Cricetulus griseus: one gene and its partners. The protein of the gene in region 2 interacts with the protein of the main gene of each other region in a biochemical or structural test. Links are inferred from orthologs where the notes say so. Each region holds a gene or a part of one and is shown on either strand. Other genes may lie near its edges.

Region 1 (5,784 bases), about 92 Mb from region 2:
AAAGATACTTGGAATTGCAAGAAGTTAAAGCATAACCTCCCCTGCCATGTGGTTTCCACTCCCTCTCATGGGCTTTAGCTAAAAGAAACCAAACAAAACAAAACCTTAGCTAGGCACGGTGGTGCACACCTGTAATCTCAGCCCTGAAGAGACTGAAGGATGAGGAGTTCAAAGCATCCTTGCCTATGCAGTGACCTCAAGGCTACCCCAGACTATTTGAGACCCTGACTCAAATAAGGAAAAAATCCTCAAAGGACAAGTGTGGTGACACATACCTATCACCCCAGCACTTGCCGGGTGAGACAAGGATGAGGAGTTCAAGACCATCCTCAACTACATAAGGAGTATGGGGCCAGGCTGCATTATATGAGATCTTGTCTCAAAACCAAACAAAATATTTAACTCTTCACCCTGCCATTCACTGTAAGCCCAATGTCCTTAGAATTCCAGCCTAAGGAGCAGGAAGACTCTGGAAATTGGAGAGTGGGGGGGGGGCTGCCATTAAAGGGAAAGGGCACCTTCAATCAGATCAAATTTCTCTTTAATGAGTTTCCTATTTCTGTGCCTCACCTTCTAGATTGAAGCTAATGAGGAGGACATTGACGATGGTTTCAGAAGGCTGTTTGTTCAGCTGGCAGGAGAGGTAGGTGTCACCAAAATTCTGCTGACATAAAGAAGTGATTTTCCTGGAGGAGACTTCATTTAAGGGGGAAAGAAAGCAAACTAAGCAAAAGCAGATTTTTGGTCATTCCTGAGACCCTTAGCCCAACACCAAGGGATGTGACCCTTGCTCACATCCTCTCAAGCCCTCTGCTGACTCCCAGGGCCTCACCTGGCCCTGGCTCTGCTTTTCCTTGAGACTCTTGGCTCACTTTGAGGCTGTTTTGTTCCCTCTGTTCTGTGCCAACTGAGACATGAAACACAACTCCTGGTCTTGACCCCATAAACACACCTGAGATGGACGGGTCCCATTCCTCCAGAATGGAAGCAGTGCCTACCAAAGCACCACTGTCCTTTTCTTAAAATAGTCCCCCAGCCTACAGTCCCTCTACAAAGCCAGTCCGCCCTTTCTTCCCTGCAACCCCAGAAGCAAAGTGTCCTTCTCCTTGTGTGGCTCTCTCCAGTGTTACCATGAGGCCCATCTCCTGTCTAGCCACAGACTCATCAAAGGGTGATGCAAGCTGTGTCACCCCCCACCCCACCCCCATTTCTCAAGGGAAGGGTCCTCAGAGAAACTTAGTCTCCACTAACTGAACCACACCTGCCCCTCTATACACACCCTGGACAAGGTTACACCAATCACACAAATACACCTAAGTGAACAGAGGTAGCTGGCTCACTTCTGAGGAGCCCTGGCAAATGACCTCAGAGAAGGGCTGAGCCATGGCTGGTCTTAAGCAGTTTCAGGAAGTTGTAGAGGGTAGATAAGACCCTGCAGGAGGGGTGGCGTGGGAGAATTAGGCTGAGGAAGACCGTGAACGTGTTCCCTGCCATATAGAAAGGGTGACTAACTCCACCCAGCATGTGCCCTACATTGTAACAGTATGTTAAATACAGCCTAGGGCACTACTTAGGGTAGGCTGGGGACAGACAAAACATCAGTTGGGGCATTCGCAAGGTCAACAAGACTCATCCAAGATGTTCACTGCGGGTCACCCAGCTCCCATGGGAGCCATAACGATGGTCGGCTCCTATGTCCACAGGATGCGGAGATCTCTGCCTTTGAGCTGCAGACCATCTTGAGAAGAGTTCTAGCCAGGCGTAAGTGTCCCCTGCGCACATCCCTCATCCTACTCCTATCCCCGCAGACATGAGGGACTCCTTGCTTCAAGCACACGTCAGCTGCTACGGCTAAGCCAGCCCTCTCTGCTCCTACATGAGCTGTTGCCTTTGCACTCCCAGCACCGGGAAGAGTGGGACAGAGGAGGTGTGTGACGTAATGGTACAGAGCAAGGGTTTCTGGGTCTAGAGATGACAGGTCAAATCCAAATTCTTCTACTTACAAGCTCTCTGAGTAAATGACATCACACAGATCACCTGTCTGACTTTTTAACCCTTATCTGCAAAACAGACACCCTACGTATGACTCCCTCTTCCCAGTGGCTGGACATTACGTAAAATCTACCTGGTCCAGAGCCTGCATGCTGTAAATGGAAATTCTTGTAATGACTAGTTGGTGAGAAAAGGCTAAGTCAGTGCAGATGATGGGCACAGAGGTCCCAGAAGCTTGTAGGCCAATCTAGCATACATGGGGCTTAACAACAGAGACCCTGTCTCAAACAAGGTAAGGGCTGACACCCAAGGCTGTCCTATGACTCCACACATGTGCCGTGGTACCACTCATCTATACTAATACACATGCATACACACCTGTCATACACACATTACCATCATACACACACACACACACACACACACACACACACACACACACACACACACTCCTCATGAAGTCTATGGGGGGGGGGGTGTGACTAGAGTCTCAGACCACCAATGGCCCAGGACTCACCTAGTAAAGTGCAGTAGGTTCTAGGTCCTCAGATTTCTCGGTCTGCTGGGACACAGACACAACTGTCTGCAGATGGACAGATGGAAACAGCCACCTTCCTCTCTCTGCTCAGAGCCTACAATGAACACATGTGCTCTCTGGCTGCACTCGACCACAGACAGTTTTCCACCTGTCAGCATTTAAAGGTTCAGCCATGATCAGGTTGGGTAGCACACACCTCCACTATTTATGAGGCAGAAGTATGAATTTGAAGTCTGCCTGAGCTTGAAAGCAAGGCTCCGTCCAAAAACAAAACAAAAACAAAACAAAACAAAACAAAACAAAAAAACCCAGCCGAGTAATTTTTTAAATTCCTTTACTTGTTTATTTTAATATTAAAGCCCTGTTTGTCCATGGTAGTTATACAGAGAAAGCCAGCAATGTAGGATTCCCTGTGCTGCCCCATTTTGACAGCCAACTACCACACCTGGCCAAAGCTATCCACAGGGCTTTGGTAGTGGCCGGCACAGAGGAAGGACGTGTCTACCTTTGTAGAAAGTTCTGTCAGATAGTACTGGTCCAGAAGCTTTACTAACAGGTCTCTTTTGTCTTTTAGGCCAAGATATCAAGTCAGATGGCTTCAGCATTGAGACCTGTAAAATCATGGTGGACATGCTAGATGTATCCTTTAATGGCTCAGAACGGAGACTAGCCCACTCGACTCTGCCTTCATAGGCTCAGAGTATAACAGACAGCCTACTAGGTCCTCGGCTAGAATCCCTGGACATGCACCCACCATCCTGCCCAGAGCAGCCTGGGCAGCTTCTTGAACAGGGTTCTCCTGCTTTTCCAAAGTAGAGCTTCCCTAACCCATCGTGTGCCTGATATGACTGTGTCTGTGGCAAGGTTCCCTTCTAAAACCATGTATGGCTAGACACTTCTGTTCATTCTAGCACATGGTGGTGTTGAGGCAGAAGGATTTCCACTTTGAAGCCAGCCTGGGCTACATAGCAAGACTGTCTGAAAAAAAAAAGTTTTCCAGACCTGAAGCTGAAGGCCTGCCTACGTTGTCATTCTTTCTCCTTGGTCTAGCTCCCCCTGGGCCACCCACCTGTCCCTGAAGCAGACTAACCATGCTCCCTCTTGTTACTGGTTCCCTCAGTAACAGAACAGTTCAAGTTTCTGTGACACTATCTGCTGGCCACAAGGCATGTACCTACGACACAGCAGCTCCCTTCACAAGACACCTTAAAAATACCCAATAATTCTCACGGTCCCAGTCATCTGTCATCTCATAACAAACTGTTGGCAAGATCTGGGGTCTCCATCACTCCCTTCCCGCTGCCCTTTTGAGGAAACTCGTGAGTACAAAAGGCAGAAGGCAGAGCCTTCTACAAAATGTCTCTGTGCATGTGTTGGAAGTACTGGGAGAGCCAGCCCTCAGGCCAAGCAGATGCCACTGTACCCAGTGACCACATACTCCAGGAGCTTTCCTTGACTGAGGGCAGGAAGATGGGAGTGGCAAGCTGGGGCTGAAGGAGTTCTACATCCTCTGGACGAAGATTCAGAAATACCAAGTAGGGTCCTGGGGACCCTGGGGTGGGTAGATCAGTGTTGGGGGATATTCCAGACACAGACTTTAAAATGTCACTCCTCTGGAGGGTGGGGGAACATTTCCAAGGGAATTGGACTTTATCCAGAGTGGAACTCAGAAGGAGTAAAGACCTGGCTACAAAAAACACACAAAGCAAGGGCTTTGCCAGGAAGGCAGTCTTAGCCTTTCCTTTGCCTGACTAATGACCAGGAATGAGGCCACTGTCAACAGTTTCCTGGAAAGGCTGCCTGGCCTCTTGTAGTTTGGCTGTGTGGCCGTTCGTATGTAAAGCATAGCATCGGCCTGTGCTGACGGGCTAGGCGATTTGGTGGGCACATTACAAAGTCAGCACATAGAAAAAGGCAACAGCTCTAGTAACACAGTTCCCAACCTGCGGGTCACGACCCGGTTGGGGTTTGAGTGACCCTTTCACAAGGGTTGCATATCAGATATTTACCGTTTTGTAACAGTAGCAAAACTACAGTTCTAAAGTAGCAATGACAATAATTTTATGTTGGGCGTCACTGCAACATGAGGAACTGTGTTAAAGGGTCACAGCATCAGGAAGGTTGAGAACCACCTCACTACTAACGATTGAAAGGGAGAGGGGTCCTAGTAAGGCCAGCCTAGAGGCGGGGAGATGGAAGCTCCTCACAGCTTCACACACACCTCACAGGAACCTCCACAGCTGTGTTGCTTTGGGTCATGGTTCTAATACGAATTTTGTGTGTTCCAGAAAATTTACCGGGAAATCGATGTTGACAGGTCTGGAACCATGAACTCCTACGAGATGCGGAAAGCCTTGGAAGAAGCAGGTACCACTTCATGGCCGCACCTCCTTACCTGTTTTGTGTTGAGCCTCGTTCTATACCATACAACATAAAGCTTTGTTGGTGGGTCTGAAGATGTAGCTCAGAGGTAGGCTCGGGCCTATCATTCACAAGACCCTGGGTCCTGTCCCCAGCACAACCAAAGTTAGATGAACCAAAATTTGGTTGGTGGTATAAAGCAGGTCCTGGTCTAAAACATCACAAGCACATCTTCTCATTCCCCTCCAAGAGACAGTGCTCAAATTAAATGTCGTCCTGGAAGCTCTGCCCTTAGCGTGCTCCTGTTTTATCTGAAACAGCCTGGCAGAGCAAGACGGCAAAGTCAGCTCTGAGAGAGGTGGGGGGAGGGGGTGTCTGTGTGTGTCTGTGTGTGTGTGTGTGTGTGTGTGTGTGTGTGTGTGTGTGTGAACAAGATCTCCTACAGCTGCAAGGAAAGCTGCAAAGTGCAATCAACATGCCCAGACAGTGACAGGCCTGTTAAAGTTCCTTTTCTGTTTACAGGAAGAATTAGTATTAATTAGTCTGCCACAATCAGCCTGCCACCTAAAATCTAGGAAGAAACTAATCTCAGATTTGATTTAGAACTTACACGGTTGTTGTTTCGTGTTGATAATCATGGTTATCAATTAGGAGCAGCATGACCATTGCAAAAACAAAAACAAAGAAACAAACAAACAAAAAAACAGACAAAAGCTTTATTTGTTAGTGAGGAAATAGACAGGCTGTGGAACAGTTCAGAAATGAAAGAAGGGACTACATGGCAAAGTTCAACCAGCCACACTGCCCATGGACAAAAGCAATTATGGGTGTAATTTAAAGAGTCAAACAATTCAGGGGAGCTGGGAGATAGCTCAGTGGTTGACAGTTTTTGC
Region 2 (5,784 bases):
TCCTGAGTTCAATTCCCAGGAACCACATGGTGGTTCACAACCATCTATAATGAGATCTGGTGCCCTCTTCTGACCTGCAGGCATACATGTAAGAATACTGCATACATGATAAATAAATAAATCTTAAAAAACAAAAAGAAAACTACTTGCATAAATAGATCTCTCAAAAGAGATTCTAAAAGAACTTGGACAACCCTTACATGGTTCGAATGGAAGATCCATATATAAAAGCCTCCCAACAAGTACATGAATTAAGTTAGGCATGGTGGTTCCCACTTGCAATTCCAGCACCTGGGAGGCCAAAGCAGAACTTTGGGAAGTTCAAGACCAGGCTAGGCTACAAAGCAACACCTTGTCTAAAAAAAGCAAAACAAACAAACACACATAAAGCCCTGGGCTAGAGGTTTTCTCTAGGGAAGAATACTTGTTCAGTATGTGACAAAACATTAAATAACATCTCCAGCACTATAAAAAATAAACCACCACAGAATTAAAATGGAGCCTAATGGGATGTGGCTCAGCAGTAGACTTTGAACATCTGTGAGGCCTTGGAGCCAATCCCAATCCCATGCTCTCAAACAGGCCACAAATTCAGAAAGACCCTGTCTCAAATAAACAAAACAAAACCAAACAGACAAACAAAAGGGTCACAAATTACCACACAAATCAGAAGCCATAGAAGTACTACAGGAACCCAGTCCCATAGGATGATTCAAACAGAAGGCTGCAAGCCATTGCAATTTCTCAAATGGACCAGAGACAGTAAGTTTGAAGCACTGTAATTTACTAGAAATAAAGCTTTTAGCACCTACATGCAAATTAAGCAATCTCTCTCAGAAAGCAATTTTTAAAGGCCCTGTTCTAAACTGAGTACAGTAGCACATGCCTATAAATTCCAGTCTGGAGACACAGATGGGAAGATGAACCCAAGTCCCAGACCAGCCAGACTACATAGTGGGACCCTGCCTGTCCTAAGCAAGCAAGCGACCAAAGCCCTGTTCTAAATGAATAGTCTACAGTTCTAATGTTCATCTCTCTGTGGACAGCACTCTGGAGCACAGTCTTATCCTCTCCAGACAGTTTACCGAGGGAACTCCTGAAGGTTCCATCGTTACATAAAAAGCTGTGCCAGGCTGTGCCACATCAACCGCAAACGGAGCGTGAGCACAGCAGCGCTGAAAGTGAGGCAGCACTTCACACACACTCTGGACTACTTACTTGAATAGAGAAAAAGCCACTGTCGTCCATATTTCCAGAAGGCTGCTGTTCAATTTTCATGGGCAGTTGTGGGCAGAGGGATGGGAAAAGGATTAAAAACTGTCATTAGTGTGCACATTTACAAGAACATGCTGTACAGTCCCATTTACCAAGAGAAGAGCAGAGTTATAATTAACAAGTCAGACTCCGAAGGGGAGAATGGCTCATCCTCCTTTAAAGAACACCCGCATGTTAAAAATAAACGGGATTTGGTAAGTCTGAAATCAGTACCTGTAAAAATGTGCGATAGTCTTCACTAGTAACTCCTCCTTCTGCCATTCTCATCCTTTCTTCTTCATCGAGCTGGTGTGCAATTGAGGACAACTCCACGGGGCTAAAATACTCCCCTTGCAATAGATTATTCAGGCAATGCTGAGCACAAAGTGAGCCTTCTTGCTAGTGTTTCCAAAAGAATAAATTGAAATGTGATTTATTAAGCAGATTTATATAGTATCTTCTAAAAAATTTAATTATAACTTTTTAATACAGTCAAACATTATTAGCCTTAGGCAAACCCGATTTACAGGTATATGCATTTTCATTTGTCCACACTTATTTTACAGCCATTTAACTATAGGAACAAAAATGAAGAATGATTTACAGTATAACTTCATCTATCCCATCTCATATAAGCCTAAAAGTGGCCCTATAAAAACATTTAGCCTTTTGAATGTTTTAGTACCTACAAGAATTCGTCTTTTGAGATTCCATGACAAATTACTTCTGGAAAAAGGGAATGTTATCTCCTAGAACATTCATTCTTCTAACTAGTTTGTTGCTATTTGACCTTAAAAGCCTGTCCTTTCAAACTCAGGAACAAGTGGGAACAATTCTGTTTTGGGTTAAGACCCACAGCTCTAGAGCTGAAGCTCTCATCGGCCGACTTTGCAGACTCATTCCATGTAGCATATAGGAAAGAGAAGTGTCCCAAGCTGACGACAGTCCATACCCATGAGTGGACAGGCTAGCGAGAGGAACTGCGGCCAAGTTTAGCTCCCTAAGGAGTCCTTAGCATCCTCTCCTGGAGGTTGGGTACATCATCCCACAAGTCAAGTGGCTTCTAATGCTGGTTAGCTGGCTTTCATACACAAATGGAACGCACTAACCAATCCAGTCAGCCTGACACTGAGCAGCCTTCTTGTCACTCCCCTGCTCCTAACAGTGTTGCTTTCCTAAGCTATGGGTAAAGAGTGGATGAGTCCAGTGGACACAGACCCTAAGCCTGCCTTCTGGGAGGCAGAGGCAGAGAACACTTCCTCTGTTAACTCTGGCTCTCTAAGGGCCAACAAAGCCTACTGAACTCAACCTGCCAGGCATCATGCCCCATGGTCTAAGCTGTTACATGACAAGTGATGACTCCAAAGCACACCTTACAAGATTCACTTTCCCCTGATGAATCAAGGTTATAGGAACAAAATGTAACTGCTGAAGTAGATATAGTACACATGTCTGTCATGGAACAGGCAGAGTTCAGAGAACTTACATCTGACACACAGCTAGAGCAAGCTTATGTTCACAGTCTGCCAAGGCATGTTGCCTAGGGTGGCTTGGAGCTAGTTAAGTATCCCTTCAAGTTGCAGTCACATGGTAACAGAATTCTTTATCTCTGCCTTGTTTTCCTTCTACTGTCCATCTACTGCTAGGAGCAACTTTTACTGAATACCACCCACTACGAGGTAGAAACGTACAGATGTTCTACTTATACCCTATTGAAAATGCAAACATTTCACAAGATAGTCAAGAGGCAAAAAAAAAAAAAAAAAAAAAAAAAAAAAAAAAAAAGATCTCAACTTCTGTAGTCATCATGGACATGTGTATCAAAACCGTAGCACAGGACAAGAGGTGGCTTAGCAGGTGAAGGTGCCCACTGTAAATCCCCAGATGCTACTGTAGAAAGAGAGAATGACTCCTGGGTACTTGCCCTCTGACCTCCACATGCACACCTGGCCATCTGCATGCCAGCACTAGCATGCATGTCACACACACACACACACACTAAAACAATGATTTTTAAATATTATACTTATTAATTGATTGGCTGGAGGGGATGCAGAGGACAACTTGAAGAATTCAATTTTCTCCTTCCATAATGTGAGTCCCAAGGACCGAACTCAGGTTTTAAGGATTGGCAGTACGTGCTTTACTTGCTGAGCTATCTTTCCAGGCCCTAAAAAATGTTTTTGTTGTTTTTCAGACACGGTCTCACTTTGTAGCTCTGGAACTCACTATGTAAACCAAGCTGGCCTCAAACTCATACAAATCTGTTTGCCTCTGTCTCCAAGTGCTGGGATTAAAGGCATGCACCACCACACCTAGCTAAAAATTGTATCTTTTTTTAAAGATTTTATTTATTTATTATGTATACAAAATTCTGCTGCCATGTATATCTGCACACCAGAAGAGGGCACCAGACCTCATAACAGATGGTTGTGAGCCACCATGTGGTTGCTGGGAATTGAACTCAGGACCTCTGGAAGAGCAGTCGGTGCTCTTAACCTCTGAGCCATCTCTCCAGCCCTAAAAATTGTATTTTTTTAAAAGATTTTATTTATTTATTTATTATGTATACAGTCTTCTGCCTGCATGCAGGCAGATGGCACCAGATCTCATTCAAGGCGGTTGTGAGCCACCACCATGTGGTTGCTGGGAATTGAACTCAGGACCTCTGGAAGAACAGTCAGTGCTCTTAACCGCTGAGCCATCTCTCCAGCCCCCAAAAGTTGTATTTTTATAAAAGAAAATTTACAATGTGTTACTATTATCCAGTCTCTGGGTCAGCTATTACAGAGGAGAGGTTTAGAATTATAGAAAATGGTTGTCACAGGAGTTAAGTATAACCTCGGGAAAGCACTCTCCAGTAACTTTCATCTCTACCAGAGCTCATCCATGTGCTCTGCTGTTACACACAGACACTGCAAACGCACTCACCAAAGCACTACTTGTATGCTTCCAAACTGGAAAGCACCCCAACACAGTCTAGATCACAAAAGTGTACTTCCAAAAGAACAGTATAGAAGGATAAAAGTAAATTAAATACAAGTAGCTGCAACAATGTGGATGAATCTCTCAAATACTCTTAAAAAATAAACACACACACACACACACACACACACACACACATAACACTAAAAAAAAGTAGACACAGGAGGTAAGGATGTAGCTAGTGTATGCAAGCCCCTGGGTTCGATCCCCACTACCCCCCCATCCCCCCCAACAAAGACAACAAAAATATATGTGGGGGAAGAGCCTAGTGAACCTATTTAAAGTAGAAGAGAACATTCCACAAAGCTTTCCACTGATCTCTCTCCATGCACAGTGGTGCATGTGTCCACCCATACAACATATCACGCAGAGACACACAATAACAATGAAAGGTGCTTACAAACAGTCGAAATGAATCTCTTAATCTTCAATGGTAGAATTAAGCAAGCACTGGAAGGGCTAGTCCCCCTCTAAGGGGACTGAGAGGAGGTGATTTCATCTTAGGACTGTTTCCATGTGTGCTTCCTTGACTGCACACCCTAGCGACTCATGTGTTCTTATGTATGACATACCTGATTTAAAACATTCAGACAAGGCCAGGTGGTAGCGGCGCATACCAGGGATGTTCTGCACACCTTCGATTCCAGCACTTGGGAGGCAGGGATGTCTATGAGTTCAAGGCCAGCCTAGTCTAAAAGCAAGTTCCAGGACAGTCAGGGCTACACAGAGAAACACTGTCTCAAAAAACAAACAAAAACAAAAACAAAACAAAACAAAACAAACAAAACCATTCAGTCAAGGCCAGGCATGGCAGTGCATACCTTTAATCCCAGCACTCAAGAGGCAGAGAAAGGTGTATATCCATAAGTTCCTGGCCAGTCACCTACATAGTGAGATCCCATCTCAAAAAGAAAAGAAAAGAAATCAAGAAGTATCTAACATGGCAACCAGACACTCAACTTTGGGAAGCAGCTGTGATGCTCTTCAGTCCAACTGCTAGGCAATACACTTCAGTGTAGGGTTCTTAAACTACAGTCACCATATTCTTTAAAGACATTTTTATTTTTATGTGTATAGGTGTTTTGCCTGCATCTATGTCTGCATTGTGTACAAGTCTTGGCATTCGTGGAGACCAGAAGAAGGGGTTGGATCTTCTGAGACCAGAGTTGCAGAGGGTTGAGTCATCGTCATATGGGTTGCTGGGTCCTCTGAAGAGCAGCCAGTGCTTGGAATCATGGAGCCATCTCCCTCACCCCCTGGTAACCATATTTAATATATAGAAATATTAACATCAAAAGTTTTGATAAAAAATTCTTGCTATTAAAGATTGGGGATTTGGAGGCAGGAGAAACAGTTCAGCAGGTAAAAACACTTGCTGATCTTGCAGGGAATTTGGGTTTGGTTCCTAGCATCTATGGGGGAACTCACAACTAGCTGTAATTCCAGTCCTAAGGGACCTGATGCCCTCTCCTGGCCTCCTCAGTCACGGTATGCACATGGTGTAGTCTGATTCATGTAGACATTCATACATATAAAATAAAAATG
Region 3 (5,784 bases), on a different chromosome or scaffold from region 2:
GAGAATAGTGAGTGCCTACTAATGCATCTCCATGGCCATGGATACTTGTGGAGGATGGCCCTTCTGTGCACGTAAGGACATAAAAAGCACTCGGCCGAGGCCTGGAAAGGAGAAAGGGATAAACACACTAGTTATGTGATAGTATGACACACATACCAAAGATTCTTGTAACAGCAGAAACCAGACATGTAGGGAGTAATTACCAAGTCATCATAATAATGAAGGCCTAGTATGGGGAGGTGACAATGAGGGTATGAAGGCAGTGAAGATGAGAAGGTCATTCCTGGTGCCTAATCAGTCACTCTGGACACCTTACGGGATATATCAAGGCAGGGAGGACAAGTGCTATGCAGTGACTGAAGCCTGACCAGTGTCAGAGAATGGAAATCAGCATTAAAGCTAGGTGTAGGGGTTCCCCTGAGATGCCATAGAGGGTACCAAGCAGCGCTTTGACAGAAGTAAGGCAAAAGACAGGGTGGCTTGGGGAAAGAGGATGATAAGGAGACGCAGCAGAGAAAGACTCCATTAGGAGCCATTGTGGGAGGGACCCTGGGACTAAGGGCAGAGCAAGCCTCTCAGGGTTACAGAGGCCAGAGCAGGAGGATGGTAAAACATGGGAATGCTACCACTCTAACGACCTTCTGACTGGAGAAGGCAAACACCAAGCCACAGTGTGCTTGGCAGTGGATTCAGTTGAGTGGCAGAGGTCACTGTTCTTAAAGGGTTTTGATAGCAACAGTGAAGAGATTACTGGAGGAAGACACCAAAGCAGGAAGATTACACTGTGTCCTTTATGTAGTTGTATTGCACAAGGCATCTGTTGACCATTCCCACAACAAAAGAGGGTAGTAACAAGCTGAAGAACACGGAGATGTGGGCATTAGTGAGGGAGCCAGATCCTAGCCATTAGAATATTCAGAAGAATGGTGCTCCTATCTATTAGTTATTCTGAACTAGGACTCGACCTAGGGTGGTCTAGGTCTTACCTTAGCAAATATCAACCCTTAGTTTTATTCTAAATATTACAGATTCCTGTTCATGAAGAAGAGTATAGGAGCACAAAATGTTCTATTGTAAATGTTCATTGATTTTAATCATGAGGTAGGCAGAAGGACAAACACAGCCTTCACTAGCTTCCCCACTGGTGCTGCAGTATGCTTTCCAGTGGCTGTGGGGACAGGAAGGAAGGTATACAATTTTCCACGAGCACAGTCATTGCAATTCTGTGGAGAAATGCCCAGGAACTGATAATAACCTTCAGAGCTTCCACAAAGCAGAAATGGCTTCTGGTGTTTGAATTAAATGAGTTAAGGACAAGAACCTGAGAAGGAAAACCCATCTCAAATGGGTATTACTTGCAGGTACTTAAGATGCATTAGGATCTGTTTTCCTACTAGGTTCTGTAAACTTCTGATGTTTTCCATAGTTTTATGTTTTCTTGTTCCCCTTCCCCTCAGATGTCCACGTCTATCCCCCAGTTCCATGCTACCCACCTGTCATATGCAGTGTGTGAGTTCTGTAACCCCACGGCAGGATGTTCCTAAGTCAACTGAACACGCGTTGCTTTCCACTAGTGCTCATAGGTGTTGAAGTTATGTAGCCTTTAACTGTGTTTGTACACTCCAAAGCTGAGGAGGACTTAAGGTCTATCTGCACATAATGCTGTCCATGTTCTTATCTTTCTGCCTGCCCCTCCCCCAGAGCTGTGACCTGGAACAGCAGAGCATTGTTCACGTTGTTCAGAGACCAGGGAGAAAAAGTCACGAGACACATGCATCTGGAGAGGACAAGCCCCACGACACCTCAGGGGGTTCGGTATGGGCACCCAGGAGCTTGACCAGGGTGGACCTCAGTAGCCATATCCTACCAGCAGACTCCGTGGGACTGGCGGTCATTCTGGATGCAGACAGCAGGCATGGTTCAGAAGCAGCCAGAAATCCAGGTAACTGCAGTGATGCTGCTGAAGAATTTTGTCTGTTAACTGACTCTCCAGAGAGTGTCCTCACTCTGCACACATTTGGTTCATGATATGTTTGGGGCTAAAATCTTTAAGTGACTGCAGGGGGATGTCCCGAGCATACACAGTTGTAGAAGGGAGGGGAGTGCATGAAATAGTGAGTAGGAACAATAGAACAGAGGTGAGAGTAGAGCAGACATAAAGGATGCTGAGGATGCATGGGCCATGAACAATGCGTTATGTTTCTCCTTTGAGGAGGTAGGGTGGTAAAAACATGTGGCAAGCTGTGTGAGGGTTTGGGTATACAACCAGGAGCACACATGTCTGTCTTACACTTTGTTTTTCTTTAATTTCTTGGGTTCTTAAATGTATTTTCTTTGACTATATTTTCAGTGATGCAGAGAAGGTTTAAAAATCAAAGGTGTTTTTAATTTCTCATTCACACTCTCTGGCCCCAGGTCATGATGTCAGTATAATCATTTCAAGCACTTTCCTTGGTAAATAAATGCATGGCCTCAGTGAATTTCTTTAGTGATGACTGATCATGTTTAGTGCACAGGGAAGTGTTCCTCACAGTTTGGAAGCTGGGACACCTAGGTGGCCTGAGGTTGGGAGTCTGGAAGGGCCTAGCATCGATTTCTAAGGCGGCACCATATTGGTGCCTTTCTCTGAAGAGATGAAGACCATGTCTATGCCTGAAAGAACAAATGATGGGCCCACTGTTTCTTCAAATAATGACTCAAAATAATCCTCATGCCAGAGACATATTTTGTATTCCATATTATCTAGATGTCTATATATTCATGGCGAACTATTCTCTTGTTTGACTATAGTGATCCATCATGAATTCATTTTTTAATGACATTAATCCTACCCCTGAGATCCTGAGGTTTCCACGTCTTAATATCATATTTGTGATTAGGTTTAGAGGGGATATGGATAGTTAAACCCTAGCAGACAGCCATCATTTTGTTATGCTGATGATATTAATATATTTCCTTAAGCATTAATTATCTGAGATGAATAAGTAATGGCAGAACCCTAGCACTTTGGTCTGTACATACAGATAAAAGCCAATAATTAACTCTCCAGAGTAGTTTATTTCGTCTCCCACATAGACATAGATAGGCCTGGACTAGCATGGCTTTCTTAGCACCAGGGATCCCAAGGCCAGAAAGATGGAAGCTTCAAAATAATAAAAAATGCCTCTTGTTAAAATCCCTAAGTACTGTTTAATTGATTTTTAAGACTATCAGTGATCTTCTAGTTAAAAGATGAAGGAACAACAACAACAAAGAACATTTAAGTAACAGTTTCCAGCTGTAGTTACATAAAAGGGTGGATGGCCCCAGAAGTTAGGTGTACTGTTTCTAACCATGAAAATAATTGTGAGCTCATCTCATAAAGGGAAGAACACACAGGACAAAGAGGTCCTGAAATTAAAGGAGCTGAAGCTGGCTGGATGAGAGCAACAACCTGGATAGCTCCCAAGAGAGGCAAGAGTATAGAAATAGTGGAGCCGTAGCCGGCTTCGAAGAGCAGTGCCTTGACCTTACAATTCAGCACCCAAAGAACTGTTGCTCAAGGACGAAACAAGGATAAAAACAACCTCATAAGCCAGCATGAGCTTGTCTGCCCTCAGCTTGCAAATCCTGTTGAAGGATTTACCACAGCAAAAAGTGAGGCTGAGGCCAAAATAAATACTTGAGGGACAACACTCACAAACAAGCCGTGTTGGTGTGAATTATGATGATGGTCAGTTTGATGGACAAGCAAGCAAGGTGCAACATAAACAGTGGAGAAAATGTCACTTAATAGAAAAGCTGCATTAAGAGATTACTACTGTAACAATAAAAAGGGTAAGCTAGAATCATAATGTTGACCCTCAAATTAGTACTCTGATGTTGGTTGAGATGTAGATTGTTCTGTGTTTTTATGCATTATGCTGCGAATGTCATTCTGTTGAAGCCAAGAGAGAGCAATTCTATAGCTTCATGGAAGTGAGTGAGCTTCAAGATGAACCTTCCATGACACCTGTAGACAGGATTGTAACAGAAATTTATGAGGTTATGAAAAATAGAAAGAATAGCTGTCTTTAAAGTGTGATGTTGCATACCTATGATAATTCCATAGTTAAAACAAATGGTCTGTATTTGTTATATTAACAAATCAACAAATACAGAGTTAAGGCTCTTTTTTAAAAGTTGTCAGTTGCAAATGGATGCTCAGTGAAATATGGCTTATATAAAAATAAAAACATAAAAAACTACACATGCTGTTCATCATGAAGATTATCATGTGGGTATGGTTGAAAATAAAACATAGTACTAAAACAGTTAATTTTTCATACTTTTAAGATGTTTATTGACCAAATCACTCCATTATATTAGTAGAACAACCAACAAATGTGACATTCAAATTTTCTTTCTAAAAATAAAATAAACATTTACATTTTTGAGCAAAACTCAACCTCTCTACTCATTGTCTCAACAAGAACAACGGCAGAATAATCCCATGTGCACACACCCAATACCTTCTTCAGTCTGCTGCTGTTTCTGCCTATGCTATCTTATCACTTAGGTTTAACTCTGTGTTCATCTAAATAGAACCATAAGAAGCTGGTGTGGTGGGGACTGGCTTCTTAATCCAGAAACCAAAGTGAGAAAGCCATGTTGAAAAGCAAGGAAGGAATTTAATCATTGATGTGGAAATGGGGAACAGCATCCTCAGACCTGACTTCAGGTTTCTGAGATGAGTGAGCTTGCAGTTTAAATAGAGGAGGGGTTGGGGCAGGAAGGCACAAGGGTATGCATAATTAAGCAACCTTGCTCACTTTCTGGCCTGATGATTCTCAGTGCTGGCTCTGTGAGATCCTGGAGAAATCTATTGTTCCAGGGCCAGTTCTCTTTCTATCATGATATAACAACTCCTGCTTAATTGGTGTGAGGGCTAGGGATCCTCATGGTTCCTTCATGGGACAATTGTTCTTACTTAGGGACCAGTGACACAATAGGGTCATCTGCCTATAGGGCAGCTGTTTCTAGAACTCAAGGAGAATGACTCCATTCTCTCAATTTGGTTCATGGGAAGATTTAGCAACTGACTAAGGTTGGTTGTGTGTCTCTTCATTGCTCTTACTTTGTCTTCATCCTGGAAGGAGAAGGACGAGCAGCTTGACATGGCCTATCCTCAGGTGGGGATCACGTCTGTGTTAGACTTGTGCAGGAATCTGACCCACCCCTCTAACACAGTGAAGGCAATAGATGCAGAATGAGGGCCAAGACACCATTTCTTGTTCTGCTTTTACAAATGCATTGTGTATGTGTGAACCGAAGTGAAGAGTCAGTTTGTCTTTTCTTTTTCAGAAAAAGCAATCTAACTCTTTATTACAGAAATGTCTGTAACCTGAGAATTTGCTTTCCAGGTATCTGTAGGTAGGAGAAATTATCTAATCAATAAGAGAGGTGATACATGATTTACATAAAAACCACTTATACTGTTTATACTGTGGAACTTGTCAATGTCTCAGTGAAGTCACATCAGACCAAAAGGACAGTGGAGACAAGTCTTGGCTAAGGAGAACCTGTACACACAGCTCTAAAATAAGCATGTTTAAAAAGTCCATGAGGCATTCCTCCATGCTCAGCACCTCCAGCACATGCCCTGTAACAGAGCTACACCAGAAACTCTGTCAAACCTAACATGACTCAAATATGGCTCCTTCCCAGGAACACATACCTAGCTCTGGCTGTCTCCTCTAGTGCTATAACACTGGGCCTGCCTCAGGACACCCTAACCAACGATGTTTGTTTGGAAACAGTTGATAG

Evidence for each region. The genes of interacting proteins can lie anywhere in the genome.
Region 1: of the proteins of Atxn3 (region 2) and Capn2, one has a biochemical effect on the other in vitro, tested with the Homo sapiens proteins (2 studies listed by BioGRID). The link is inferred for Cricetulus griseus from reciprocal best matches to the Homo sapiens genes ATXN3 and CAPN2.
Region 3: the proteins of Atxn3 (region 2) and Prkn form a complex in vitro, tested with the Homo sapiens proteins (4 studies listed by BioGRID and IntAct, with this or other methods). The link is inferred for Cricetulus griseus from reciprocal best matches to the Homo sapiens genes ATXN3 and PRKN.

Annotation. Positions count from the first base shown.
Region 1 is NC_048598.1:11,976,614-11,982,397, forward strand, and holds part of Capn2 (calpain-2 catalytic subunit), read left to right. Parts: intron 1-577; coding exon 578-643; intron 644-1,703; coding exon 1,704-1,761; intron 1,762-3,104; coding exon 3,105-3,169; intron 3,170-3,996; coding exon 3,997-4,065; intron 4,066-4,818; coding exon 4,819-4,897; intron 4,898-5,784. UniProt on the Homo sapiens protein: Calcium-regulated non-lysosomal thiol-protease which catalyzes limited proteolysis of substrates involved in cytoskeletal remodeling and signal transduction. Proteolytically cleaves MYOC at 'Arg-226'.
Region 2 is NC_048598.1:104,075,099-104,080,882, reverse strand, and holds part of Atxn3 (ataxin-3), read right to left. Parts: intron 5,142-5,784; exon of another isoform or gene 5,061-5,141; intron 4,931-5,060; exon of another isoform or gene 4,812-4,930; intron 1,654-4,811; coding exon 1,489-1,653; intron 1,264-1,488; coding exon 1,219-1,263; intron 1-1,218. UniProt on the Homo sapiens protein: Deubiquitinating enzyme involved in protein homeostasis maintenance, transcription, cytoskeleton regulation, myogenesis and degradation of misfolded chaperone substrates.
Region 3 is NC_048595.1:289,627,902-289,633,685, reverse strand, and holds part of Prkn (E3 ubiquitin-protein ligase parkin), read left to right. Parts: intron 1-1,701; coding exon 1,702-1,942; intron 1,943-5,784. UniProt on the Homo sapiens protein: Functions within a multiprotein E3 ubiquitin ligase complex, catalyzing the covalent attachment of ubiquitin moieties onto substrate proteins. Substrates include SYT11 and VDAC1.